Linked DNA regions of Oryctolagus cuniculus. The protein of the gene in region 4 interacts with the protein of the main gene of each other region in a pairwise test. Links are inferred from orthologs where the notes say so. Each region holds a gene or a part of one and is shown on either strand. Other genes may lie near its edges.

What was found.
Region 1: the proteins of FAM161A (region 4) and CADPS interact in a two-hybrid assay, tested with the Homo sapiens proteins (2 studies listed by BioGRID). The two-hybrid records come from large-scale screens. The link is inferred for Oryctolagus cuniculus from reciprocal best matches to the Homo sapiens genes FAM161A and CADPS.
Region 2: the proteins of FAM161A (region 4) and DHX32 interact in binary tests that used the Homo sapiens proteins (3 or more experiments, as listed by UniProt). The two-hybrid records come from large-scale screens. The link is inferred for Oryctolagus cuniculus from reciprocal best matches to the Homo sapiens genes FAM161A and DHX32.
Region 3: the proteins of FAM161A (region 4) and CBY2 interact in binary tests that used the Homo sapiens proteins (3 or more experiments, as listed by UniProt). The two-hybrid records come from large-scale screens. The link is inferred for Oryctolagus cuniculus from reciprocal best matches to the Homo sapiens genes FAM161A and CBY2.
Region 5: the proteins of FAM161A (region 4) and LMNA interact in binary tests that used the Homo sapiens proteins (3 or more experiments, as listed by UniProt). The link is inferred for Oryctolagus cuniculus from reciprocal best matches to the Homo sapiens genes FAM161A and LMNA.
Region 6: the proteins of FAM161A (region 4) and CARD9 interact in binary tests that used the Homo sapiens proteins (3 or more experiments, as listed by UniProt). The two-hybrid records come from large-scale screens. The link is inferred for Oryctolagus cuniculus from reciprocal best matches to the Homo sapiens genes FAM161A and CARD9.
Region 7: the proteins of FAM161A (region 4) and VPS52 interact in binary tests that used the Homo sapiens proteins (3 or more experiments, as listed by UniProt). The link is inferred for Oryctolagus cuniculus from reciprocal best matches to the Homo sapiens genes FAM161A and VPS52.

The regions. Positions count from the first base shown.
Region 1 is NC_091441.1:87,195,785-87,199,284, reverse strand, and holds part of CADPS (calcium-dependent secretion activator 1), read right to left. Parts: intron 3,068-3,500; coding exon 2,834-3,067; intron 1-2,833.
Region 2 is NC_091446.1:5,808,245-5,811,744, reverse strand, and holds part of DHX32 (putative pre-mRNA-splicing factor ATP-dependent RNA helicase DHX32), read right to left. Parts: intron 1,244-3,500; coding exon 998-1,243; intron 1-997.
Region 3 is NC_091440.1:64,764,219-64,768,402, reverse strand, and holds the start of CBY2 (protein chibby homolog 2), read right to left. Parts: upstream 2,801-4,184; 5' UTR 2,700-2,800; coding exon 2,625-2,699; intron 2,347-2,624; coding exon 2,266-2,346; intron 1,258-2,265; exon of another isoform or gene 1,243-1,257; coding exon of another isoform or gene 1,129-1,242; intron 1-1,128.
Region 4 is NC_091433.1:140,941,939-140,945,942, forward strand, and holds the start of FAM161A (protein FAM161A), read left to right. Parts: upstream 1-1,204; 5' UTR 1,205-1,677; coding exon 1,678-1,860; intron 1,861-4,004. UniProt on the Homo sapiens protein: Involved in ciliogenesis.
Region 5 is NC_091438.1:42,571,722-42,575,221, reverse strand, and holds part of LMNA (lamin), read left to right. Parts: intron 1-846; coding exon 847-972; intron 973-1,088; coding exon 1,089-1,259; intron 1,260-1,364; coding exon 1,365-1,490; intron 1,491-1,718; coding exon 1,719-1,939; intron 1,940-2,038; coding exon 2,039-2,258; intron 2,259-2,676; coding exon 2,677-2,784; intron 2,785-2,916; coding exon 2,917-3,036; intron 3,037-3,308; coding exon 3,309-3,398; intron 3,399-3,500.
Region 6 is NC_091432.1:236,667,521-236,670,301, forward strand, and holds part of CARD9 (caspase recruitment domain-containing protein 9), read left to right. Parts: intron 1-1,345; coding exon 1,346-1,525; intron 1,526-1,631; coding exon 1,632-1,775; coding exon of another isoform or gene 1,776-1,840; coding exon 1,841-1,966; intron 1,967-2,781. UniProt on the Homo sapiens protein: Adapter protein that plays a key role in innate immune response against fungi by forming signaling complexes downstream of C-type lectin receptors.
Region 7 is NC_091436.1:135,860,366-135,863,865, reverse strand, and holds part of VPS52 (vacuolar protein sorting-associated protein 52 homolog), read right to left. Parts: coding exon 3,474-3,500; intron 3,218-3,473; coding exon 3,122-3,217; intron 3,036-3,121; coding exon 2,928-3,035; intron 2,772-2,927; coding exon 2,706-2,771; intron 1-2,705. UniProt on the Homo sapiens protein: Acts as a component of the GARP complex that is involved in retrograde transport from early and late endosomes to the trans-Golgi network (TGN).

The DNA.
Region 1 (3,500 bases), on a different chromosome or scaffold from region 4:
AGGGGTTGTCCTTTCACTGACAGCTTTTACACTAGGAAAAGCCATGGAAGTGGAAAGAAATGGAAGGAGCCATGGACATAGCACAATTTTTGGAATGTAAAAGATCTGACCACCAGTCCTGATTGTACATCTTCATAGCTGTGGAATGGTCTGCAGGTTTCTTAACCCCCCTGAAACCGTTTTCACATCTGCAGTTATCTCAAAAGACTGTTGTGAGGACTCACTGAGTTAATGATAGTAAAACACCTGGCCCACAGAGGCATTCTACAGATCCTGTTGCTGTCAATCACAGTTGCGCCTGCTCAAGGCCTTGTCACTCAGATCCTGGACTCCAGTTCCCTTGCTGCAAAGTTAACCAGTCTCTGGTGTCCCTTCCAACCATGCAACTGTCATCACACCAAACCCTCCCATGGCTTGTACCAACCTGCAAGTTGAAATCTCAGTCTGCTATGATGACAATTCTCTCTCCACCTTCCCCACTCTCTTTGCCTCTCCCTCTCAAGGCCCAAACACATTCACAAATAGATGTGTAATAGTGTTACTGCCAGCTTTACTATGATGTGCAATTTAGTGTTTTAATTAAACAGGATTTGGGAGCCCTAGGGCATTTCATTCCGTACTTGTATTTACAAGCCAAAGTCCTCTGAATCATGCACACATAAGACCATTGTGGGGCCTCGTCTACCGATATTTCAGATAATCAGTGATATAATACCTAACAAGCAATCAAGAATTAGAACATTACATATTTAAAAGCTACATGAAAATCAATAAACCATTTCCCCTCCTTTCTGCAGAAAGACAAGAGGCAGTTGAGAATACATTGTCACCTCTAATTAGCAATAATCAAATTCAAAGACACCTGAGAAAAAGTGCTCAGTACCTTAGTTGGCAGCATTAAAAAAAGAGAAGGATTCTGTGAAATTACACTGGTGATTTTTTTCACACCCCAAGGTCTCTAAATTTAATTGCACACTGCCTTTTTTTTTTTTTTTGACTGCAGAATACATGAGTATCTCAATTCTGAACTGAGCACAGAAAAACAAATTACCTGGACTTAATTCATAGCAATCCTTAATGATGTTCCAGAAAATTAATTTAGTCTTTACCCATTCTAATTAAATGTGCAGAAATGTGACCTATTCTCTTGGTCTCCCCTAATCCTGGGTCAGCATAAAAGCCTTGTGGATTTTGAACTTTAATAACTTATGAGTGGTTCATAAATTCTGGAGTACATAGTAAATATCTGGGTCACTTATGCACACAATTCAGGGCTATATTTCTGACAATTTTGCAGACATGTATTTTACATGTCACATAACTAGCCCAGTTCAGTTGCACAAGTCAGCTATGTTTAGCACATTTATCAAGCTGTTTGACCATCATGATCAATCAGCTTGAGCGATTTTTATCTTTGCCAATAAGACCCCTGATGCCCATTTCTGTCTCATGCCCTGCAACACTAATCTACTTCCTATTTCTGTGGATTTGCCTTCACAACCTTTCTAATCAACAAAATTATACAGGAGATAGTCTCTTGTGTCTGCCTCCTTTCACAAGCATATATTTCTGAGGGTTACCCATGTCTACTAGGGGACCATTTGTCTGAACTGCAGTGTGTGGTAAGTACGTATCATAGATTGTCTAACCATTCACCAGTGAATGGACATTTAGACTGTCCTAATTTTTAGCTATCAGAACAAACTCTGCTATAAATATTGGCAATCAACTCTTTGCAGGGGACAATGCTTTCATTTCTACTCTGCAGGTAGCTAGCAGTAGAGTTCCAGGATCATATCACAGTTTGATGTTTAACGTTTTGAGAAGATGCTAACCTATTTTTGCAAAATGGTTCTAACAATAGATATCCCTACTACCTAGAGACTCTGGTTGGGCAATTCTGGGTAGGGTCTAGGCATCTGTATACTGAACCAACTTACTGGGCAACTCTGATGTAGGTATCAGAATCACCCCATAGAGTATATATGAAGAACAAACGAATGAAGAGAAATTATGAGGAATTTATTAACATGTGGCGCATTCTGCCATAATAGTAGCCTGATAGTGTCCTTTATTTTTGAAAAAAATTTTTATTTATTCATTTTTCTTTATTTGAAAGACAGAATGAGAGATTGAGATCTTCCATCCACTGGTTCACTCTCCAAATGCCTACAATAGCTGAAGCTTGGCCAGGCCAAAGCTAAGGGCCAGGAACTCCAACCAGGTCTTCCATGTGGGTGGAAGGATCCCCAGTACTTAGGCCATCAGCTTCTGCCTCCCTAGTGCATTCAAAGGAAGCTGGTTCGGAAGTGGAGGTGGGACTTGACCCAGGCACTCTAGACATGAGATGCATGGGCCCCAAGCAGAGGGTACTCTGCACCACAATGACTGCCCCAAGAGCGGGTTCTTGCTTTGATGTTCAGACAAGAGATTCTGTACTGCACAGCCATCAAGAATGATGATGGAAAGAAAAGTTACACTTAAACTTGAGTTAATGTTTGATTGCCCCTCTTACAACTGCAACAAAGTTTGCCAAAACCTGCAACTTTCGAAACTGCCTTACTACTTTACAAAAATCCTTGGATACTATGTAAGCCACAGAAAGGAATGAAAGATTAAATTTAGCAGATGATTTTTTTGAAGAGTATATTTTCCTAGAAAAATGTGGGCTCCTGGAGATGGGGCCTCACTTGCTGATTAGCTGAGCTATGCTTCCCAAGCTGCTATTTTAATAACTCCCCCTGGGGTGGAAGGTGGAAGAGAGGCTAACCACCGTATCACTCATGTCCTGCTTGCTGGGCCAGGCAACATCCAAGAGTTGAGGGCTTTTTACCTCCAAGGAGAAAGACAGCACGACGTCTGACTTGGAGAGCTGGTTCTCGCTCTCCTCGCCCATGTCAATGAGGGAGGCGTTGTGGCTGCGCTTGAGCTTCTGCAGTTTGAACTCCCCGCCTTTGGACACAGGCATGCTCTCCAGGTTGGCCATGAGCAGGTTGACGGACGACTTTAGCTCTTCGATGTACATGTTTTCCATTTCTTTGGATACAAACTTGGGAAATTTGCGTTCCTTAAGAAGAGAACAGAAAAGCATGAGCGGAAGAGTAACCAGAGACCTACACAGAAGATTTTCATACACAGCCCAGAGTCAGAATCACATCTACCACCAGACACTGTGGCACTGTGTCAGAAAAATGCTGTCTTGTGGAGGCACCTGCCTGCCTTCTTGTTAATTAGAATTTCCAACATGTGCATATACACACACACACACACACATACACACACACACATTCCTAAACAAAGAGTAAGAATCAAAGGTTTTCATTACAGTTCTAGAATTTTTCCAGTTTTCTCCAGCAAATTTGATTTGTGGAAAGAAAAATGGGGCGATATTTTGCAAATTTGATTTCAGTTCAAACTGTTTTTCTTTTTAGCAAACTGCAGTCAGTTGTGTTTTAGTTATGGAAACAGAAAGACACCCTATTTCTGGATATCTATAGTTT
Region 2 (3,500 bases), on a different chromosome or scaffold from region 4:
CCCGCCAGGCGACACGCTCACACAGGCCCTGGGCTTGCACTGGGCCCCCCCACGCACGCTTGCGTGACCATCAGTGTGGTGTGGTCCCTCCCAAGTCTCGCTGACATGCACTGTGACCTCAGCGGTCTCGCCCCCCTCACAAGCCCAGTGCTTCTCCGGGCATTGCAGCCACACAGAGACTGCACCGGGAACTCAGGGTGACTGAGGGGCAGTGAGGCTCTGGGCGCCCTGACCGTGGACAGAAGCAACAGGACCAACCCTCACTGTCGCCAAGGCAACCTTCACAGTCGCTGGGACCGCTACGTCCCAGCACGACGGGGACACTGAGGAGGCCCATGGTCCCTGGGAGGGGAAATCCACTCGACGTCGAACGCAGTAACCAGACCAATATTCAGGAGGCTCAAATGCTCAAACGCCATGGCTCACGAGGTCCCAGTGTCTTTAGAATTTGGGATATCTTATTTTCATTTTTTTTGGGTAGTTTATTTAAAAGTAGTAAAAAAAATTAAAAAGATTTAGGATGAAAATATTCTCATGTCAATTAAAAGCTAAAATTTGCTAACATTAAAGTCAGCGCACTTGAAACTTGTTCTGGTAAATTCCCTCGGGCAGGATTTTACTCACTTTGCTCCAGGGCCACCAGAGTCATCCAGCAGATACACACAGAGGCACACGGCACTCAGCCAGGAGGCAGGTCATTCGCTCTGCTGGGCCCTGGCCTGGGCAGGCAGCGACGAGGAGGCGTCGCCTCTGCGCGTCTGCGGCTGTGTCTGTGCCCGCAACTCTCCCCTCTGGCATCTCAGCTGGGTTAGTTTCTTTCCGACCACCCCCTGCTCACGAAAGCTGCAGGAATCCTTCCCCGCAGGCGTGGCCCCACGTTCCGAGCACCTCTGGGTCACACATTGCACCTTCACCTTCCAGTCAACGAAAGGCTGGGACCCGAGGAACTGGTGCTTAGGAACCATCCGTGATTAATAGCTGACGCGGTCATAATTACCTTCCTTCTTTCCACACCCACATCAATAACGAATCTGACGGTGTTGCTCCAGATCAAAGATTCGCCAGAGCTGGTGGTCAGCACCACTCTCCTCTGAGTGGCCTGGCAGCTTCTCTCCGCCTCGTCGGCTGGCTTGAACAGCGTACACTTCTCTTTCGGGTACAGAGGAACCACCACCAGTTCTCCAAGATCTGGGGTCAAGTGAGAGCCTTCCTGACACACAATTTCATAGGCTTTTTCAATGTCCTATGGCAACAAATAAATAAATAAATAAACAGCATCATCCATGAGAAATAAGTATAATACAACTCCCCTCCTTAAAAAAAAAAGTCTGAATTAACTACAAGTGTAGGCAACACTGTATAATGTAGATAGGGGAAAGAAATGCTGTTGCCAACATATATACATCTGTTTCCTTTTTTTTTTTTTAAGGTTTATTTATTTGAAAGGCAGAGTGATGGACACCCACACAGAGCAAGAGAGAGAGCGCACATCTTTAAATAAGGAAAGGAGACATAACTGGAAGAGAAAATTTCCTTGGAGAAGTCAAACACAATTTATTAGCAACTTCACTGCCTTTACCAAAGCCGTCTGCCTCTTGTGAGATGTGCTGCTTTGCCTCTGTGTGTCTGCCCTGCTCTGCTTCCAGCGTGATGCAACTTCACGTACCCACTGCCAGTGGCAGGTAAACAAAAATCTTCTCACGTCGATGATACATCACTTTTTTGAAGTTTCATTTACTTGGAAGGCAGAGCGACAGAGAGAAGTAAGGAGAGATCTCCCACCCACTGGTTCACTCCAGTTGCCTGCTGGGGAGGCCGAAGCCAGGAGCAAGGAGCTCCATCTGTGGGTGACAGCGTTACCTGCTGGCTCCGGCTTCCTGAGAATGCACGCCCTGGGAGGCAGCAGTGACGGCTCGAGGACTTGGGCCCTGCGTGGGAGACCCGGAGGAAGCTCCTGGCTCCTGGCTTCAGATCAGCGCAGCTCCAGCTGTTGCAGCCAACTAGGGAGTGAACCAGCCAATGGAAGACCTCTCTCTCTGCCTCTCCTCTCTGTGTAACACTGACTTTCAAATAAATAAATAAATCTTTAAAAAAAAGTTTCCCTGCCAAGTAGGTTAGAGAGAAACTACGATTTGCCACAACACTACGTACAAGTAATAGGGACAAGGGTGAGACATTTTAGACAATATTCTAGACAGTATTTTACTATCTTTCAAATCATAGGTTTTTTTTTTTTTAATCTTACATAAAATAGAAGGGACCTAATGTAATTCTTACTCCCTTTAAAATTTCCCAAATATATACCTTACTAGGGGCTAACAGACTCCTATGGTAGCCTCATTCATACAGTCATTAGAGGTCATTAAGAATCTGAGTAAAAAGATGGCCTCCCACGACTGTTACAGCTGTGGGTTTTTTTTTAACTTGACAGAGTTCCCATTCACTGTTTATTCCCCCAAATGACTGCTCAGTCCAGGTCTCGCAACCGCTGAGCCATCAGCACTGCCTTCCAGAGCCTACATCAGCAAGAGGCGGGGCCAGGGGCCGAGGGTGGGCATCGAACCCAGGGCTCCGCAGTGGGGCGCTCACCCGCTGCGCCCAGCGCTCGCCCCACTTCAGACGTGGAACTGAATTCCCGTCTCCACCTCCCCTCCTGTGCACCACGGCCTGGGAACGCGCAGGCCCCCTCAGGTTCCGGAGGTGGGGCGAGCTGTTCTCTGGGACCTCAGGGGGCGGGCAGCGGCCGCGGCGCCAGGCTCCCCGTCAGCAGTCACGCAGGCCTTCCCCCACTCTCACGTCCCTGGCTGCGAGTCGCGGGTTTGCGTGGCGCACATGCACAGTGCTTCACAGGCCAGGAGCACGGCTGCTGCTCATAACGGACGCAGACTTGCCACTCTGCCTGCATTTTTACAGGCCGGTCACTTCACTTTGCATCGCTACTATATGACCGAAGCTTAGAAATGAGAAGGAAAAGGAAAGCGCGTGGGCTGCCACTCCTGGTCCCGGCTGCTGTTTAGCCTCACGAGCACGCGCACGCCCTCCGCGCACGCCCTCCGCGGCAGCTGCACCTGGCAGAGCTCACAGGTGTTCTCAGCCCCACAGAAGTGCATTCCTCAAGTCTCAGGTTCCGAAGTCTCTGTGCCGTTCACTGTGGTCACACTAAACTTACAGCACTCGGCCACCACAGGCCCGCCTCCTCGATTCTGTTAGGAGGTTTATTTCCCAAAATCCACTTCGCAGTTTCTGTTCACTCTGCCTTGAAGGACCAGCGCTCCTCCCGGGGGAGGGGGTAGAAGCGGGCGTCTGCGTCCTCGGCCAGCGTTCCCGACTCCCGGAGTTTCCTGTTCTGATCCTGCCACTCTCCCCTTCCTTGGGTGTCAGCAGCTACACTGACCACCTCTCTCTCTTCACATCTTCTGTCTCCTTAATCACTCCAGGACTCCTCTCAGGGCTTGCCTGAGGATTCCGAGTCGTGCAGGAAGAGGGGACGACAATCGACT
Region 3 (4,184 bases), on a different chromosome or scaffold from region 4:
AAGACTTATAGAGCTAAGAGGTGACCTGGTGCAGCCAAGTGAGTATGGATATTGACCTGGTTCAAGATCCTGACTCCAACCCTACTATTACCTGAAGGGCTCTAGGAATTCCTGGTTCCCATACCTAGAAAATCTTACATTTGCGTGTCTTTGTGCTCAAAACATGATATGATCAATAGATCAATATTCAGTCAACACTTCTCCCCCTCTTTTCTCCTCTGCCAATGCTTACCTCCAATTGTGTGCACCATCTCATGTTGGGAGAGTTAGCAAACACATCATCTTTCTCACAGCACTAGTGGTGGTTTGCCCACTTCCTTCCTGCAGATGACTAGTCTACAGTATCCTGGAAGGTGCCTTCAACCTGCTTCCTGGTTGTGCTTCTTTGTCATGTGTACCCCTGAGGCCACATCTGTCCACATGGGGTACATGTGCCCAGATAATTGCTGAACATTTTCCTCACTGTACACCCACCCTGTCTTCCAACTGCCCAACAGCTGTACCAGGTCCTATAGCACAGAAAGTGGGTGGCCCCAGGACAAGCCAGGGACATAGTCTCAAGCCTCCTTTTCTCCTCCTTGATTGCTAGGATGTTTCTGGGAGTGGATAGGGGAAGTTGTGCTGGATATAGATAGAAGAATCTCTCCAATCTTTCTATCATGTGACCATCACTTATTTAAATCCTATTCCCACCCTCACTGTCACCTCCACCCCACCCTGGATTGGCATCTTCTACCCATCCTTTAACAATGGAAAGATTGAATTACACAGGCTATGAAGAATCAAAGGAGCAACACCGACCATCAAAAGGAATAGTGTCCAATGGAATTCCCTGTATACAACAGAAAGAATTGGACCTAGAAAGGTTCCTGTAGCTTATCATCATCCTGTCAAATGATCAGCAATGCTATATTCTGGCTAAGTCTCATGAGCTGAAACAGATAGAAAGTGTCTGTTACTTGCAGAGTTTTAAGGATAATGTGAAAACAAACATCCAGAATATTTTCTTGTCCTCTATTTGTGCCTCCTGCTGAACATACATGCCTAGATTGTTCAGTCACATACATAGAATGCCCACTGGTGACCCACCCTCCTACATGACTCTGGACAGAGCTGTCAGATAGTTACCTCTGCATTGGATCTCTCCATTCTACATTTCAACCCCTCTGACTGCATGCCCATGGTCTTCCAAAGGGGCCTTGAGTGACTCTGGGAGAAGCAAGGCCATGCCCTTTGTGACATAACAGCAGTAGAAACAATCCAATCAAGAGAACCCCACCAAGGAAACAGCCACTTGCAGGAGAAGACCTTAGAATCTCCAGCCTGTTGGCTGGTGCCGCAGCTCACTAGGCTAATCCTCCGCCTCGCGGCGCCGGCACACCAAGTTCTAGTCCTGGTAGGGGTGCTGGATTCTGTCCCGGTTGCCCCTCTTCCAGGCCAGCTCTCTGCTGTGGCCCGGGAGTGCAGTGGAGGATGGCCCAAGTGCTTGGCTCCCTGCACCCCACAGGAGACCAGGAGAAGCACCTGGCTCCTGCCATCGGATCAGCGCGGTGCGCTGGCCACAGCGCGCCAGCCACGGCGGCCATTGGAGAGTGAACCAACGGCAAAGGAAGACCTTTCTCTCTGTCTCTCTCACTGTCCACTCTGCCTGTAAAAAAAAAAAAAAAAAAAAAAAAAAAAAAAAAAAAAAAAAAATCCAGCCTGTCAGAACTGCACCTACACATTGTCCTAAAAAAACAAACAAGCAAAACAAACAAAACCATGCACGTATCCTTTATGCTCTCTCTTTGGTACACAGCAGGGCTTAATTCTATTGACATCTCCAAATGATACCTTAGCATCCAGTCAATGTGCTAGGTTTTCTCCTCATGGACTCATTCGTAAGCATTTGACCCCAAGCCCCAGGTCTACTTGTCCCCCTAGAAATCCAGAGTGCTAATACATCACCAAGCACCAAAGATCTCCCTTTGAGGATGAATATTTGATTGTTTTTTGTTTTTTTTTGTTTTCAGTCTAGCATAGAAACTTGAAATGTTAGGGTGGCCAGGTCATCTAATTCACACTCCTCGTATGAGAGAAGAGGAACCCAAGGCCCACAGAGGCCATGTTTCCTCCCCCAGGCACAGAATGGGTGGGTGGTCAAATGCACAACTAGAATCGGAGGCCTTGACTCTTCAGCTTACTCCACATCAGGCTGGAGTTTTGGAAGAGGAGTGTTATTCTGCCTTAAACGGGCAGATTTCATCCTTCTGTGATTAATCCTACCTGAGGCAGAACCACATTGATTGGGATTTCTAGGCTTTCAGATCTGGTATCTCGTTTTCTTGTAAAATTTGGCCTCGAGTGCTGTAGAAAAGAGAAAAGAGGAAAATTTCTGTTGCCCAACCCACCCTCTGGGCCTCCATTGCTCATCTGACAATTATAGGACTTTCTACTCATTTATTTGCTTCTTGTCAATTAGGTACATTATGAAAATCTGCATCTGCAAATGTGTGTGGACAATCTCTGATATTTTATTAAACAAATTCATACAGATACTATAGCTGATGTCTTTGAAGCACTGATTGCTAATATCTACATCCTTGTGTAAGACTACTGTTTCCCTCCCAAGCAAAAAGCCATACCAATGTGAGGTGCCAGGTATAGGTCCTGTGCAGAAGTTGGTCACCAAAACACTCAGAACATTCCAGAGGTGACATCACAAAACAATATGGTGTTCTGCAGGGCTCATGGTTTCTCTCTGAGCGTCACAGGTGGGAACGAAGCATCTGGCAGGTAGGAAGAGTTTTGCAGCATCTGTGACCACGTGGCTAAGTAGGGTCAGTGTGACACACAATACCCCAAACACCAGGCCCTGATTGGTCATCCCCACTGCCAGGCCGTCCTCTCTCCAGAAGGGGCATTATCTACTTGTAGTTGTATTGCTCAAGAAGAAATACCAACTGAATTCCCAGACCAAAGGAGGAAAGAGGGACTCAGGAGCTTTGTGGCACCACTTGATTCCCCAGGGCTGTCACCAGTGGACGCCCTGAAACCATCGACCTGGAGCGAGTGCCAGATCCCAGAGGTTAGGTGCTCAGTCCCACCAAGCTGCCTTCACCTCAGATGCCACTTGTACCATTGACTGATCAGCTATAAACCAGGAGTTCCATGACCCCTTCTTTGGCTTCAATAATTTGCAAGAATGGCTCACAGAACTCAAGAAAACACTTTACTTATGATGACCATTTTCTTATAAGGGGCACAACTCAGGAACACCAAATAGACGGGATGCACAGGGAAGGTATTGGGCATTGAGGGTGGTGTGGAGTGGCCGTGCCAGCCCTGGGCAGCCACTCTCCCAGCACGTCCACGTGTCCTCCCACCAGGAAACTCTCTGAACCCCACTGTTGAGGTTTCATTACACAGGCGTGGTTGTTTAAATCTCCAGCCCCTCCCCCCTTCCTAGAGGTAGGGGTTGGGGGGTGGTGATGAGAGTTTCCTCTTTTTAATCACATGGTCAGTTTTTCTGGCGGCAGCCCCCAGCCTTCAAGGGTTGCCTCATTAGCTGAAACTCAGGTGTGTTCCAAAGGGGCTCATTATGAATAACAAAAGACACAGAGGAAATGCCAAGGATTTTAGGAGCTCTGTGCCAGGAATCAAGGACAAAAGCAGAGTTTATTTTCTTATTATACCACGGAGGTAACAGCATCAAGACCACAATGCCCCATGCCCTGGCCTCACTTCGGGCAAATCATTCACCACTAGAGGCTGTTCATGGGAGCCTTTTCTTGTACCGTAAGCCAGTGGCACACCCCAACCCTACGTGCAGTAAGAAGGGAATGACGGACCAGAGGCAGCAGATCCTGAGACACCAGCCAGAACCACCTTTTTGAGTCCCCCACACCCAAATTTACAAGAAAGCTTTGCTTTAAGACCTAACATGCGGCCGGCGCCGTGGATCACTTGGCTAGTCCTCCACCTGCGGCGCCGGCACACCGGGTTCTAGTCCCCGTTGGGGCGCCAGTTCTGTCCCGGTTGCTTCTCTTACAGTCCAGCTCTCTGCTGTGGCCCAGGAGTGCAGTGGAGGATGGCCCAAGTGCTTGGGCCCTGCACCCCATGGGAGACCAGGAGAAGCACCTGGCTCCTGGCTTTGGATCAGCGAAGCGCCGGCCGTAGCGGCCATTTGGGGGTGAACCAACGGC
Region 4 (4,004 bases):
TTGGCGGTTATGGCCATTTGGGGTGTAAACTAGCAGATGGAAGATCAATCTCTCCTTCTCTAACTGCCTTTCAAATAAATACATGAATCCTAAAAAACAACAGGGGAGACGGAGATGGCATTCCAGATTGCTGGTTTAGGCGTGGTGCAGCCCTAGCCAATGTGGCCATTTGGGCCATTGAACCTGCGGACGAAGATCTGTCTTTGTCTTCCTCTCTCTAACTTTGGCTTTCAAATAAATTTTTAAAAAACTTTTAAAAAGTAAATAAAAACTTCCCCTCTTAAATAATCATTTCCCCCTAAATAAAAGTTACCTGCTTGTGGAGTTAGACTTTGGAAATGATTCTTCGTGGTTTCCTCATTTGCTGCAGGTAAGTTACTTTGTTTTGTTTAAGATTTTATTCATTTATTTGAGAGGTAGAGTTAGAGTAGAGACAGAAAGGTCTTCCATCTGTTGGTTCACCCCCCAAATGGCCGCAGTGGCCGGAGCCGCGCCCATCCGAAGCCAGGAGCCTCTTCCGGGTCTCTCTTGCGGCTGCAGGGACGCACGCACCTGGGCCATCCTCCACTGCCTTCCCAGGCCACAGCAGAGAGCTGGACTGGAAGAGCAGCAGCTGGAACTAGAACCGGCGCCCCTGGCCGCAGGCGGAGGATTAACATATTGAGCCTCGGAGAAGGCCCCCAGATAAGTTGCTTTGTGTGACAGCTCCTCCCGGTGTTTCTTAGAACTCGCCAGAAAGCGGGACCACACTTTGGAGTGACAAAGGCCCTTAACAGAACGGGAAATAGTGCAGACTTGGCCAGGGGCGAAGGAATCCAAATGATAGGGCGAGGAAAGGGGCGGCGGCCTTGGTCTCACCAAGGAGGGGCTGAGGCAGCATGTGACACTCTGGCTTGGCCTCTTGCAGCCACGTGGTGAAGGGAAGGAGCCAGTGGAGGCGCCCCAGTGCCCAGTGGGAAGGTGGCGGGGGTGAGGTGGAATGAAGGTGTGTCTATGGCGCGTCGGACACTGGCGCCCTCAGTCCCCGCCACTCATAGGCCTGCGACTCCAAAGCGAGCATCGCGTTCTGTACGGGTATCGTCATTGGTGGGCGGGCCAGGCGCCACCCTACCCTGGGCTTTTTATTGGTCAGGTCAAAAAAATCGCGCGAGAGTCACCTAGCAGCCTCCTTCTGATTGGCTGATTCCTGCTCAGGTCAATCCTTCCCCTTCTCTTGCTCTGAGGCAGCCATGTTTGGTATTGGGATACAAATCTTGACATTCTTCTGAGGTCACTTCACAATAAGATGCTACTCTCCTCCGCCATCATCCCCTCCCAACCTGGTATTCCAGTTAATAAAAATGCGCTCTTGTCTTCACAAAACGGGTGTGTTATGATAGTGTCAGAAGTCTGCGTTTAGGTGACCGGAGGGGAAGAGGTGCCCTTTTCCGTCCGCAATCTTCTAATCCAGCAAACAGATTTAGTTCTGACTCCCATTCTCCAGTTGAGTGACGGACTCGGGTCCCAGGCAGCCCGAGAAGCTTTTTAGTCTTTTGATCCCTCGCAGCCCCTGTAGCGTCCCTAGTTACCGCGCCCCTAGTAACCGCCGGCTGTAAGCGAGGAGCCGCCGGGTCTCCCGGGCCGCGCCAGCTTACCCGCCCCGGGCCAGCGCTGGCGCTCCGGCCTCGGAGGCGGGTGATGGCCGCCTCACACCGAGAGGCCAGGCTGGCGGCCGCCAGTCTCCAACTCCCGGTAAATCCCAACACCGGAGCGCGGGTCGCCCAGTACGAACGCGAAGACCCCTTCACTTCCCTGACGGCAGCGGCGGCGGCCTCGGAGGATGAAGACGACTACAAAGTTGTGCGGCCTGAGCGAGTGGCGGTACAGCGGGGGCACGACCGGGGATGGGACTGGGCGCGGGCTAAGGGCTGGTCCCGGTCCCCGCCAGGCTGATTTCCGGCTGGGAGACGCGGTGCCGCGTGCAGATCCTCCCGACCCGGTCCCCGGCCCACCTCTTTCTCTGCCCCCACAGAAAATACTCGACACGGAGGCGTGGGAAGGCCTTTTAATTTTCACCGAAGAGATTACTATAAAAATTTCTTGGAGGGCATTCATGTCACTCCATTTTCTAGACAGTTCAAAGTACAGAATTTTATTCCCTACTCTTTAAGTATCTGTTGGGAATGAACAGCCAGTATTCGCGTTTTTTTGTTTACTTAACGAGGAAAATTAATCTATCCCTTGGTGGATAATCCCTGAAGAAACAGGTGCATCAGCTGTGCTATCAATTGTACTTTAGTGTTACCTGACGGGTGTTTAAAACATCAAGATGGTGGGTAAATCGACACACGTACAGATAAATAGCCAGAGAAGCAAATTACTGAGATTCCAGTGCTTCCCAAATGACTCCTCAGGGTGGGAGGAAACAGCCTATTCGTTGATCAGTTTTCAGAGCCACATGTGTCCTGCTCGCAAGTCCACCAGGTTCAGCGTTCTTTAATTTGTCCAAAGCGTCTCATAAGCTAACTGTCATGGCCTGGGTCTAGTAGAAATAAATAACTGCATGTTTTGGAATTGTTATCTGTACTCTAAAGCTATTAATGAAAAATTTTGTAGCAGCATTTTGTATGGCCAATATCTCTCCAACAGGGTAACAACTCATGGTTATCCCTAAGTAAGGCAGCTGGAGACCCTGAACATGAACCAGGGGAAGCATCCGAGGACCAGCTTTGCTGTAATAAAGCTCCCCCCACCCCCACCCCTCACACAATTTTCAGTGGGCAACAAAGGAGGCACAGTGATGGAGGAAAAAAATCTTTGAATGGAGGAAAAGAATTTGGAATCCTGAAGTCGAATCCATTCTCTGCCATGTGCTGGGTGATGTTAGCACATAACTTCCTTAAAATCTCAGTTTCTTTCTCTGAACAAAAAGAATAATTGTCTCTCTTTCCCAGCTGACCTAGCTAATATAAGATCCAAATAAGATAATGTATGTTTTATTGAAAGCACAATTTATATAAATAATAGTTATTTAATTTTTTCAATTTATTTATTTAAAAGGCAGAGAGCTAGAGACAGAGACAAAGAGGGATCCTTCGTATGTTGGTCCCCCAAAAGCCTGCAGTAGATATGGCTGGGCCAGGTTGATACTGGTAATTGGGAACTCCATTTGGATCTCTCACGTGGATAGCAGGTACATAAGTACTATCAGAACCATCACCTGCTGCCTCTCAGGTCATGTATTAGCAGGGAGCTAGAATTGGAAGCGGAGTCAGGACTTGAACCTAGGCACTCTGATACAGGATGCAAGCAGTATCTTAACCACTGTGCCAAGCACCCACCCCAAATTAAAACAACTGCCCATGGGACTGCCATTTGAACAACTTGCCCTAAGATGACAGTGTGATTTGGCTGCTGTGGTAGGGGAGTCAGTCATTTATCTGTAGTGGTAATTACACTTCCAGAGGGCCTGTTAAGCTAAAATGTATACTACAAACTAATATTACCTTAGGAGAGATTAGTTTGTACAATGAGCTAGTTTCAAAAGGATGGGGACCTACCCAAAAAAGAAAACTAAGTCTTATGAGTTTGACACTGTTCTGAGGCCATCGTACCTGACAGATCCCAGAAGTAAACCTTGATAAGCTACCACAGAAAGTCCCACAGGGCAGAAAGTTCTGGGGCTGGAGGAAAAAGTGCTGAAAAGACAGGGAAGAGAGTGTAGGAGTCAGATATTTGCCTTCAGATTGGTTAGAGTCTCTATCTCAAATTTTCAGGGTTAATTTGTTTCAGTTTTGTCAAATATAACATGTAAATGCAGATACCATACCCACCAGAACTATCACAATAAGCTTCTGTTAGTCCTTTTGTTTTGCCAAAGCCAGTCTACCCCATCACTTCCATGCACCATAACCCCCTCCTGTATACATATACCCTTACGTGATTCTTTGACCTTGTTTGGGCACTTAGGTATGGTGCTTGAATCTAGTTTGGAGATATCAGTTTATAGGTCCTGCTATGTGGGT
Region 5 (3,500 bases), on a different chromosome or scaffold from region 4:
GCCAGCGGACGATGACAAAACCTCAGCTGGCCTCCTGGATCTTCTGCCGCCAGCTCCACCCTTCCCCCAGCCCGTGCTTTCTAGAACAAACATCTGAGCAGGGTGCTGCCCAGTATGAGCTTCTCAGAGGTTCTTTCCGTGGCAGATAAAGACAGCTCTGCAGAAGGCACGGGTGTGGCTGAGCAGGTTCGAGTCCCGGCTCTGCTCCCTATTCCAGCTTCCTGCTAATGCGAACAGGAGGCAGCAGGGATGGCTCCCACATGGGAGACCCAGATGCAGTTCTCCGCCCCTGGCTTCAGCCTCCCCCAGGCTTGGCTGTTGTGGGCATTTGGGGAGTGAAACAGCAGATGGCTGATCTCTCTTCCCGCAAATAAATAAAAAATCTAATTAATTTTGAAAAAGGGATCTCTGTATGACCCATCACTTCACCGCCCCATCCATCAGCTGAAGGCCCTAGAACACGTGTGTGCCTTCGTAGCCCCGTGCCTTTGCACGTGCTGTCTTGGCCCCTCCCCAGGCTGCCCTATCAAGCCTCCCAGACCCCTTCTTCCACCACTCCAGCCACACTGGTTCCTTCCCCGCTGTGCTCTGTACACACCGCCCTCCTAGCAACTGCTATCTTGTGCCACAGTTTGGAGGTCTTACGAGGGTGGGAGGGCTGTGGCTTTCATTTCTTAGCACAAGAGCTACCCAAGTCATCCCCATCCTAACCTCCCCGGGCACCCCAAGGCCTCGCTTCCCCCTGGACCTGTCCCTATGCATGGAAGGGACCCGCTGGGAACGGCCTGGGGCTCGGCATCGCTGCAGCTGGCACATCCCGTGACCCCTCTGCCCACTTCCTCTTAGCTCGAGGCAGCCCTGGGGGAGGCCAAGAAGCAGCTGCAGGACGAGATGCTGCGGCGAGTGGACGCCGAGAACCGGCTGCAGACCCTGAAGGAGGAGCTGGACTTCCAGAAGAACATCTACAGCGAGGTGGGGCTTGCGCATGGGGGTTGGAGATGCCGGGGCCAGGGGGCCGGGCCAGGCCCGAGCTGTAAGGAACGGGGGCCGATTTATGGGTTCCGTGTCCTTGTTCCCACCCCTTCCAGGAGCTGCGTGAGACCAAGCGGCGCCACGAGACCCGGCTGGTGGAGATCGACAACGGGAAGCAGCGCGAGTTTGAGAGCCGGCTGGCCGACGCGCTGCAGGAACTGCGGGCCCAGCACGAGGACCAGGTGGAGCAATACAAGAAGGAGCTGGAGAAGACCTACTCCGCCAAGGTGCCCCCCCCCACACCCCACCCCGGGATCTGAGGCCGCCCCAGCAATGCCGTCCTCAGGCCCCGCCCTCCTAAACTCCCCCCGCCCCCCCGGCCTTCCCCGCAGCTGGACAACGCCAGGCAGTCTGCTGAGCGGAACAGCAACCTGGTGGGGGCCGCGCACGAGGAGCTGCAGCAGTCCCGCATCCGCATCGACAGCCTCTCGGCCCAGCTCAGCCAGCTGCAGAAGCAGGTGCCTCTGGGGACAGCACGGATGGGGGGGGCACCCAGGGTGAGGTCTGGAGGGCGGAGGGGAGGGGAGAGATGAGCACGCCTCCAGGACTGCAGGCCGAGAGAATGAGCTGGGGCCCAGGATTTGGAAGCAAGTGTCCTGTCCGCTTTGTCTCACTGCACCTGCACGTCTAGGGCGTGTTGATTTTCCCCTCGGGAGCTCACACACCCCCGCCTCTCCCCATCTCAGCTGGCAGCCAAGGAAGCGAAGCTGCGGGACCTGGAGGACTCGCTGGCCCGGGAGCGGGACACCAGCCGGCGGCTGCTGGCGGAGAAAGAGCGGGAGATGGCCGAGATGCGGGCAAGGATGCAGCAGCAGCTGGACGAGTACCAGGAGCTGCTGGACATCAAGCTGGCCCTGGACATGGAGATCCATGCCTACCGCAAGCTCCTGGAGGGCGAGGAGGAGAGGTGGGCTGGGGAGCACCCGGGAGCTCCAGCAATAGGCCCTGGCCTGCGCCGGGCCTGCATGAGACCCCTTCCCCTAACTCTGTCTCCTCCCCTCCCCAGGCTACGCCTGTCCCCCAGTCCCACCTCGCAGCGCAGGGGCCGTGCCTCTTCGCACTCGTCCCAGACGCAGGGCGGGGGCAGCATCACCAAGAAGCGGAAGCTGGAGTCGGCCGAGAGCCGCAGCAGCTTCTCGCAGCACGCGCGCACCAGCGGGCGCGTGGCAGTGGAGGAGGTGGATGAGGAGGGCAAGTTTGTGCGGCTGCGCAACAAGTCCAATGAGGTAGCCCCGCCCCTTCCCCACCACACCCCATCCTGGGCGGGGCCTGAGGGGATACTGCAAGAGGAAGGGCGGAGGGAACCCGGGAGGACCCTTCCTTCATTCCCTCTGCGGGCAGCCAGGGCCAGTGTGTATGTCTCCCGCTCCCTGGTTCCAGTCCTGCCTGGGAAACCTGGGACAAGTTATGTCGCCTCTCGGGGGATCAGTCTGCTCATCTGTAAAATGGACATGAGTGATAGCCCCCAGGTGAAAGATGGCGCACCATGAAGTCCATGGTGGCGGCTGTTTTTTAGTAGGGGGGGGGGGCAAGGCAGTAATGGGGTAGAGGGACCAGGAGCCTCTGAGTGCCGGCAGCGGGTGAGATTAACCCAAAGAACCAGGATACACCTCCCCTTCTCCCCCTTCCCTCCCTGCCTGGCAGGACCAGTCCATGGGCAACTGGCAGATCAAGCGCCAAAACGGAGATGACCCCTTGCTGACTTACCGCTTCCCGCCCAAGTTCACCCTGAAGGCCGGGCAGGTGGTGACGGTGAGTGGCAGGGCGCTTGGCGCCCTGCGGTAGCCTGGGGCGGGGTGTGTGTGTGTGTGTGTGTGTGTGTGGAGGACGGGCCTGAGGACAGTAGCACGGAGTGAGTGCCCTTTCCCGCTTCCTTTTCTCCAGATCTGGGCTGCTGGAGCCGGGGCCACCCACAGCCCCCCTACCGACCTGGTGTGGAAGGCGCAGAACACTTGGGGCTGTGGAAACAGCCTGCGCACGGCTCTCATCAATTCCACTGGGGAAGTGAGTGTGCTGCGGGCTGGGCAGGGCTCCCCCTAGTGGCCACAGTCGGACGGTCACTTTGCCGGTCTCCTACGGGGGGTGGGGGTGGGGGTGGGGGTGGTGGTTGTGCCTCCCTGGGGTGGGAGCAAGTTCCTTAGCGCCGGCCCCACAGAGGGCAGGGTCAGCAGCAGGCCGGCTGCTGGCGGTCCCCGTGGGTAGGTGTGCCGCACGCCGCCCCCACCCCCCCGCCGGCCCCGTGTGGCCCCTCACCCTCAGGTCTGTGTCCCTGGCAGGAGGTGGCCATGCGCAAGCTGGTGCGCTCGGTGACTGTGGTGGAGGACGACGACGACGAGGATGGAGATGACCTGCTCCATCATCACCATGTGAGTGGCAGCCGCCGCTGAGGCCAAGCCTGGCCAGACCTGGGGGCAGCCCCTCACGCCCAAAAATCTTTTCATTAAAGAATGTTTTGGAACTTCACTGGC
Region 6 (2,781 bases), on a different chromosome or scaffold from region 4:
GGTCAGGAGCCGGGCCTGGGACCCCACTGCCCGGCCTGGGGTGGGCCTGGGACCCCATTGTCCAGCCTGGGGTGGGCCTGGGACCCCACTGCCCCGCCTGGGGTGGGCCTGGGGGGCAGGGGCCAGGAGCCGGGCCTCGGACCCCACTGCCCCGCCTGGGGTGGGCCTGGAGGCAGGGGCCAGGAGCCGGGCCTGGGACCCCACTTCCCGGCCTGGGGTGGGCCTGGAGGCAGGGGCCAGGAGCCGGGCCTGGGACCCCACTGCCTGGCCTGGGGTGGGCCTGGGGGGCAGGGGCCAGGAGCCGGGCCTGGGACCCCACTGCCCGGCCTGGGGTGGGCCTGGAGGCAGGGGCCAGGAGCCGGGCCTGGGACCCCACTGCCTGGCCTGGGGTGGGCCTGGGACCCCATTGTCCAGCCTGGGGTGGGCCTGGGACCCCACTGCCCGGCCTGGGGTGGGCCTGGGGGGCAGGGGCCAGGAGCCGGGCCTGGGACCCCACTGCCCGGCCTGGGGTGGGCCTGGAGGCAGGGGCCAGGAGCCGGGCCTGGGACCCCACTGCCTGGCCTGGGGTGGGCCTGGGACCCCACTGTCCAGCCTGGGGTGGGCCTGGGACCAAATTGCCCGGCCTGGGGTGGGCCTTGGGGGCAGGGGCCAGGAGCCGGGCCTGGGACCCCACTGCCTGGCCTGGGGGTGGGGGCTGCAGGCCTGGGACCCCACTGCCTGGCGTGGGGGTGGGGGCTGCAGGCCTGGGACCCCACTGCCTGGCCTGGGGTGGGCCTGGGGGGCAGGGGTCAGGAGCCGGGCCTGGAACCCCACTGCCTGGCCTGGGGGTGGGGGCTGCAGGCCTGGGACCCCACTGCCTGGCGTGGGGGTGGGGGCTGCAGGCCTAGGACCCCGCTGCCCGGCCTGGGGTGGGCCTGGTGGGCAGGGGTCGAGGGCCACAGGCTGGGTGCCCCACTGCCCGGCTTGGGGTGGGCCTTGGGGGCAGGGGCCAGGAGCCGGGCCTGGGACCCCACTGCCTGGCCTGGGGGGTGGGGGCTGCAGGCCTGGGACCCCACTGCCTGGCCTGGGTGGACTTGGGGGGACAGGGGCTATGAACCAGGCATGGGACCCCGTTGCCCAGTCTGGGGGGTGGGGAATGCAGGCCTAGGACCCCGCTGCCCGGCCTGGGGTGGGCCTGGTGGGCAGGGGTCGAGGGCCACAGGCTGGTTGCCCCACTGCCTGGCTTGGGGGACGGCGGGGGCCGCAAGCCATGCTGGGGACCCTTCTGCCCGGCCCGGGGGTGGGGAACGCAGGCCTGGGGCCCGGCTGCTGGCCCGGGGGCGGGCTGACCGGCAGCCGCGTGCAGGTGGACGGGCTCCGGCACAGCCTCCTGCGGGCGGAGGAGGACTGCACGGTGGAGCGCAAGCACACGCTGCGGCTGCGGCGCGCCATGGAGCAGCGGCCGAGCCAGGAGCTGCTGTGGGAGCTGCAGCAGCAGAAGGCCCAGCTGGAGGCGCGCGTGCAGGACCTGGAGGCCGCGGCGCAGGTGGGGGCGCCGGGCGCCGGGCGGGCGGGGGCGGGTGGGCGCCGGGCGCCGGGCGGGCGGGGGCGGGCGGGGGCGGAGCCGCGCGGGACGGCCGCTCTGTGTCCAGCAGGGGACGCGGGAGCGGAGCAGCCCCTACGTCCAGGTGCTGGAGGAGGAGTGGCGGCAGGTGCTGCGTGACCACCAGGAGCAGGCCGGCACCGTCTTCTCCCTGCGCAAGGAGCTGCGCCAGGCCGAGGCCCTCCGCGCCCGGGTAGGAGGCGGGGCCCTGGGGGCCGGGCGCCCTCCCCGCGGGGCGCTGAGCGGCCGTCCCCACAGTGCGCGGAGGAGAAGGAGGTGTTGGACCTGCAGTGCCAGGCCCTGCGCAAGGACGCCCGGCTCTACAAGGAGCGCATGGAGGCCGTGCTGCAGCAGATGGAGGAGGTGGCCCTGGAGCGGGACCAGGTGTGTGGGGGCCCAGTGCCCTCCCCGCTCTCGGGGTCTCCCTCGGTGCGCCCCTCGGCCACGATGCACCCTCAGGGAGCTGCTCTAACACAGAAACCAGCACCTGGGGGGGGGGCCCTGGGGGCGGAGGAGGACTTGCACACACACACACACACACACAAAGAAGAAGAGCGGCCGGGACTCGGAGGCAGGCAGCGGCAGGGCTGGTAGGCGGGACCTCTGGCTGCCTCTGGGTGGCCCAATAGGGACAAAAATGGATCAAGTCCCGGCCGCGGGGGCGCTGATGGGCCCAGACTCTGCCCTGCCCCTGCCCGTGGCCCTGTTCCCTCTGTGTGTCGGTGTCCCACGGCTGGCCGGCCCCCAGTGGGGACAGGCGGGCGTCTCACACAGCACAGACCATCATGCTCCTTGTTTTTGAGATTTTATCTCTTTGAGAGGTAGAGAGAGAGAGAGAGGTAGAGAGGTCTTCCATCTGCTGGTTCACTGCCCAGATGGCCGCAATGGCCAGAGCTGCATTGATCCGAAGCCAGGAGCCTCCTCCAGGTCTCCCACGCGGGTGCAGGGCCCAAGGCCTTGGTCCATCCTCCACTGCTTTCCCAGGCCACATCACAGAGCTGGATCGCAAGTGGAGCAGCCGGGACAAGAACCGGCGCCCATGTGGGATGCCGCCCTGCAGGCTTTAACCGCTGCGCCACAGTGCCAGTTCTTAAGCTTTGCTTATTTGCGGGCAGTGGCAGCTCTTCCATCTGGTTCGCCCCCACTGCCTGCAACACCCGGGGCTGGGCCAGGCTGAGGCCAGCCCCAGGGGCTCCGTC
Region 7 (3,500 bases), on a different chromosome or scaffold from region 4:
CACCTGGGAAGGCAGCAGAGGAGGGCCCAAGTATTTGAGTCCCTGCAACTCATGTGGGAGATCCAGGTGGGGTTCCTCACTTCAGTCTGGCCCAGGCCTGTCTTTTGGCGGCTTTTTTTTTTTTTTTTTAAGATTTTTATTTATTTATTTGAGAGGTAGAGTTACATACAGTGAGAGGGAGAGATAGAGAAAGGTCTTCCATCTGCTGGTTCACTCTCTAAAGGGCTGCAATGACCAAAGCTGCACTAATCCAAAGCCAGGAGCCAGGAGCTTCTTCTGGGTCTCCCATGCAGGTACAGGGGCCATCTTCAAGGACTTTCCAGGCCACAGCAGAGAGCTGGATCAGAAGAGGAGCAGCCGAGACTAAAATTCGCGACCATATGGGATGCCAGCGCCACAGGAGGATTAATCTACTGCACCACAGCACAGCCCCTGGTGGCCTTTTGAAGAGTGAACCAGTGGATGGCAGTTCTCTCTCTCTCTCTCTCTCTCTCTCTCTATCACTCTGCCTTTCAAATAAACCAATCTTTTGTAAAAAGACACGTATGGACCCTATATCAATCCTCATTTGAACCATATAAAACATGAGGTAACTGAAGACATTTGCATACTAGCTATTTAAAATGAGATAATTAAAAATTATAAAGTCTGATAATGTATTGTGTTTTATAAAACACAGATTCAGCTGTAGTGATAATGATGCGTAAGATTTCATTCAGAATAACTGGGGGAGGGTGTTCTGGGAAGAGAATGAGTAACGCTGCACACAAAACAAAATTGTACATTGTTACTGGTGGGGAGATCAGTGATGGTACCTCGGGCTCACCCTATTTGAAATTTTCCACAATAAAAAGTTGAATTTGGGGTTGATGTTTGGCTCAGCATTTCAGACAGGCCTGTGACACCCGAATCCCATACTGGGAGCGCCTGGGGTTCAAGGCCCAGCTGCACTTCCGATTCCACCTCCCTGCTAACGCAGACTGGGGGGCGGCAGGTGGTGGCTCCAGTACTGGGGTCCCTGCCAGCCAGGTGGGAAGCCCAGATTGAGTTCCACACCCCTGTCTTTGACCCAACCCAGGCTACTGTGGGCATCTGGGGAGTGAACTCACAGATGGGAGAGCTCTGTCTGGGCCTCTCTCTCTTTGCCCTTCAAATAAATTGAAAAAAAAAATTTTAATTAGAATTTTCAAAGAAAAATAATTAAATTTTTAAAAAAGAAGAGGAAAATTAAAAATGAACAAACCAAAAAAGGGGAACAGCATTGTGGCACAGAGGGCTACGCTGCTGCGTCTGACACTGACATCCCATCCCAGCGTGCCAATTTCAGTCCCTGATGCTCCATTTCTGATTCAGCTCCCTGCTAATACCCCTGAGAAGGCAGCAGATGATGACCCAAGGACCTCACCCCTGCCACCTATGTGGGAGACTAGGGTTGAGTTCCTGGCTCCTGGCTCCTGGCTTTGGCCTGGCCCACACCTTGCTGTTGCAGTCATTTGGAAAGTAAGCCAGCAGATGGAAGACCCCCCTCCTGTCTCTGTTGCTCTGCCTTTCAAATAAATAAATCTTTAAAAAATGTAATTAGTTTGAGAGGCAGATACAGAGAGACGGAGAGCAAGCTTCCATTCATTGGTTCACGCCCCAAATGCCTGCAACACTGGTGCTAGGCCAGCACTGGGAGCCAGGAACTTGGCTCAGGTCTTTCAGGTGGATGGTAAGAAGCCAATTACCTGTGCCATCACTGCTGCTTCCTGAGAGCGACATTAGCAGGAAGCTGGCGTCAAGAGCTGGAACTGAGAACTCAGCCCAGTACTCCAATGTGGGATGGAGGCCTCTTAACCACTGTCTTAACTGCTAAGCCAAACGCTGTCTCCAAGAGAAACTTTTGATAAAGCTTATCAATATCTAAGATTGTTCATAAAACAATGTTCCCAGAAACAAACAACTGGAAGCAATCCTAACACCCACTTACGGGGGAAATTCATGTTCACACATGTAAGGTGACATGGCAATGACAGAGAGTGAGCTAGAGTCCACATGCGGGATTGTGACAATATTACACAAATTCTATATGAAAAAAATCCCATGATTCTGTTTTCACAACACTGAAAAACAGAACCAATCATGGTTTTGGCATACTTAAATTCTGAAAAGCAAGAACATGACAAACATAACATTTAGGTCAATCAGTGCTGGTGCATGAGAGGCACAGTGGCCGGGCAGGACTTCACAGTTTGATGTTGGTTTTTGTCAAGATGCGAGTTCTTGGCTTGTACAGTAGGACCACAGGTGTTCAGATCACTTAAAAATTAATTGGGCTGGTGTTGTGGCAGGTGGGTTAAGCCACCATCCCATACAGGCTCCAGTTAAATCCTGGCTGCTCCCTTCTGATCCAACTCCCTGCTATGGCCTGGGAAAGCAGCAGAAGACGGCCAAGTCCTTGAGCCTCTGGCACCCTTGTGGGAGACCTGGAAGAAGCTCCTGGCTCCTAGGTTTGGCCTGCCTGTCCTTGGGAACTGTAGCCATCTGGGGAGTGAGCCAGCAGACGGAAGATCTCTCTCTCTCTCTCTACCTCTATCTCACCTCTCTCTACAACTCTGCCTTTCAAACAAAAACAAACATTTTTTTAAAAAATTAATATACCAACGACAGCATGTGGTGAACTAAGAGCTGTGTCCCGGAGGCCCCTCACGCCCCGCCCCTCCTACCTGAGTCCGCGCATTGAGCAGCTGCTGGAAGCTCTCCACCTCCTTGCTGTCGTCTGCAGCCCGCTCCTGAGGGAACACAGGCGCGGAACGCCACGTCAGGGCACAGCAGTCCTCTACTTACTGGACACGGCCAGGCTCTGCCTGACTCAAAAGCTGACACTGAACAAAACTCTCTGCCCTCGCGGGACTGACAGAGCGCCGTGGGGAAACCGCGTCTGTTACCATCAGCACGCCCAGCATCATGTCGTAGTTGTTGATCAGAAACACCAGCTGCTCCTTCCGTGACGAGAACTCAGCTGCCACCCGCAGGACAAAATTCTCCACCTCCACCTGCAAGCACGGACAGGAGGCGGTGACAAGGGGAAGCAAGGGCCCCCGCCCCTCCTCACGGCCGCCCGCAGCAGGCCTGCCCTCACCTGTAGTTGTCCCAGCAGCTGCATGGTCCGCTCATTGGGAATTGTCTGGTTGATGCTGACAAGAGCAGAGGAGAACTCGGCATACCGGCGTGTGATCTAGGAGCAAGAGGCGGGAAGAAAATCACACCACCCTCCTGGTCCAGTCAACGCCAACTCCCAACTCCCTTGGCCAACCACCCTCCACGCGACTCCCGCCTCTACTCCCTCCGACCAACCCAGGGTGAGTTATACCATACACCTAGACTGCCTCTCACAGTGTGGCCCAAACCACAAGTGTGACCTTGGCCAGCCCCTCGGTGCAGCTGGGAGCCCTGTCTTCAGGAAGCCCTTGGTTACCCCTGCCCCTTCTCACGTAGTGGGGCCGAGTGTCCAGCCCGCC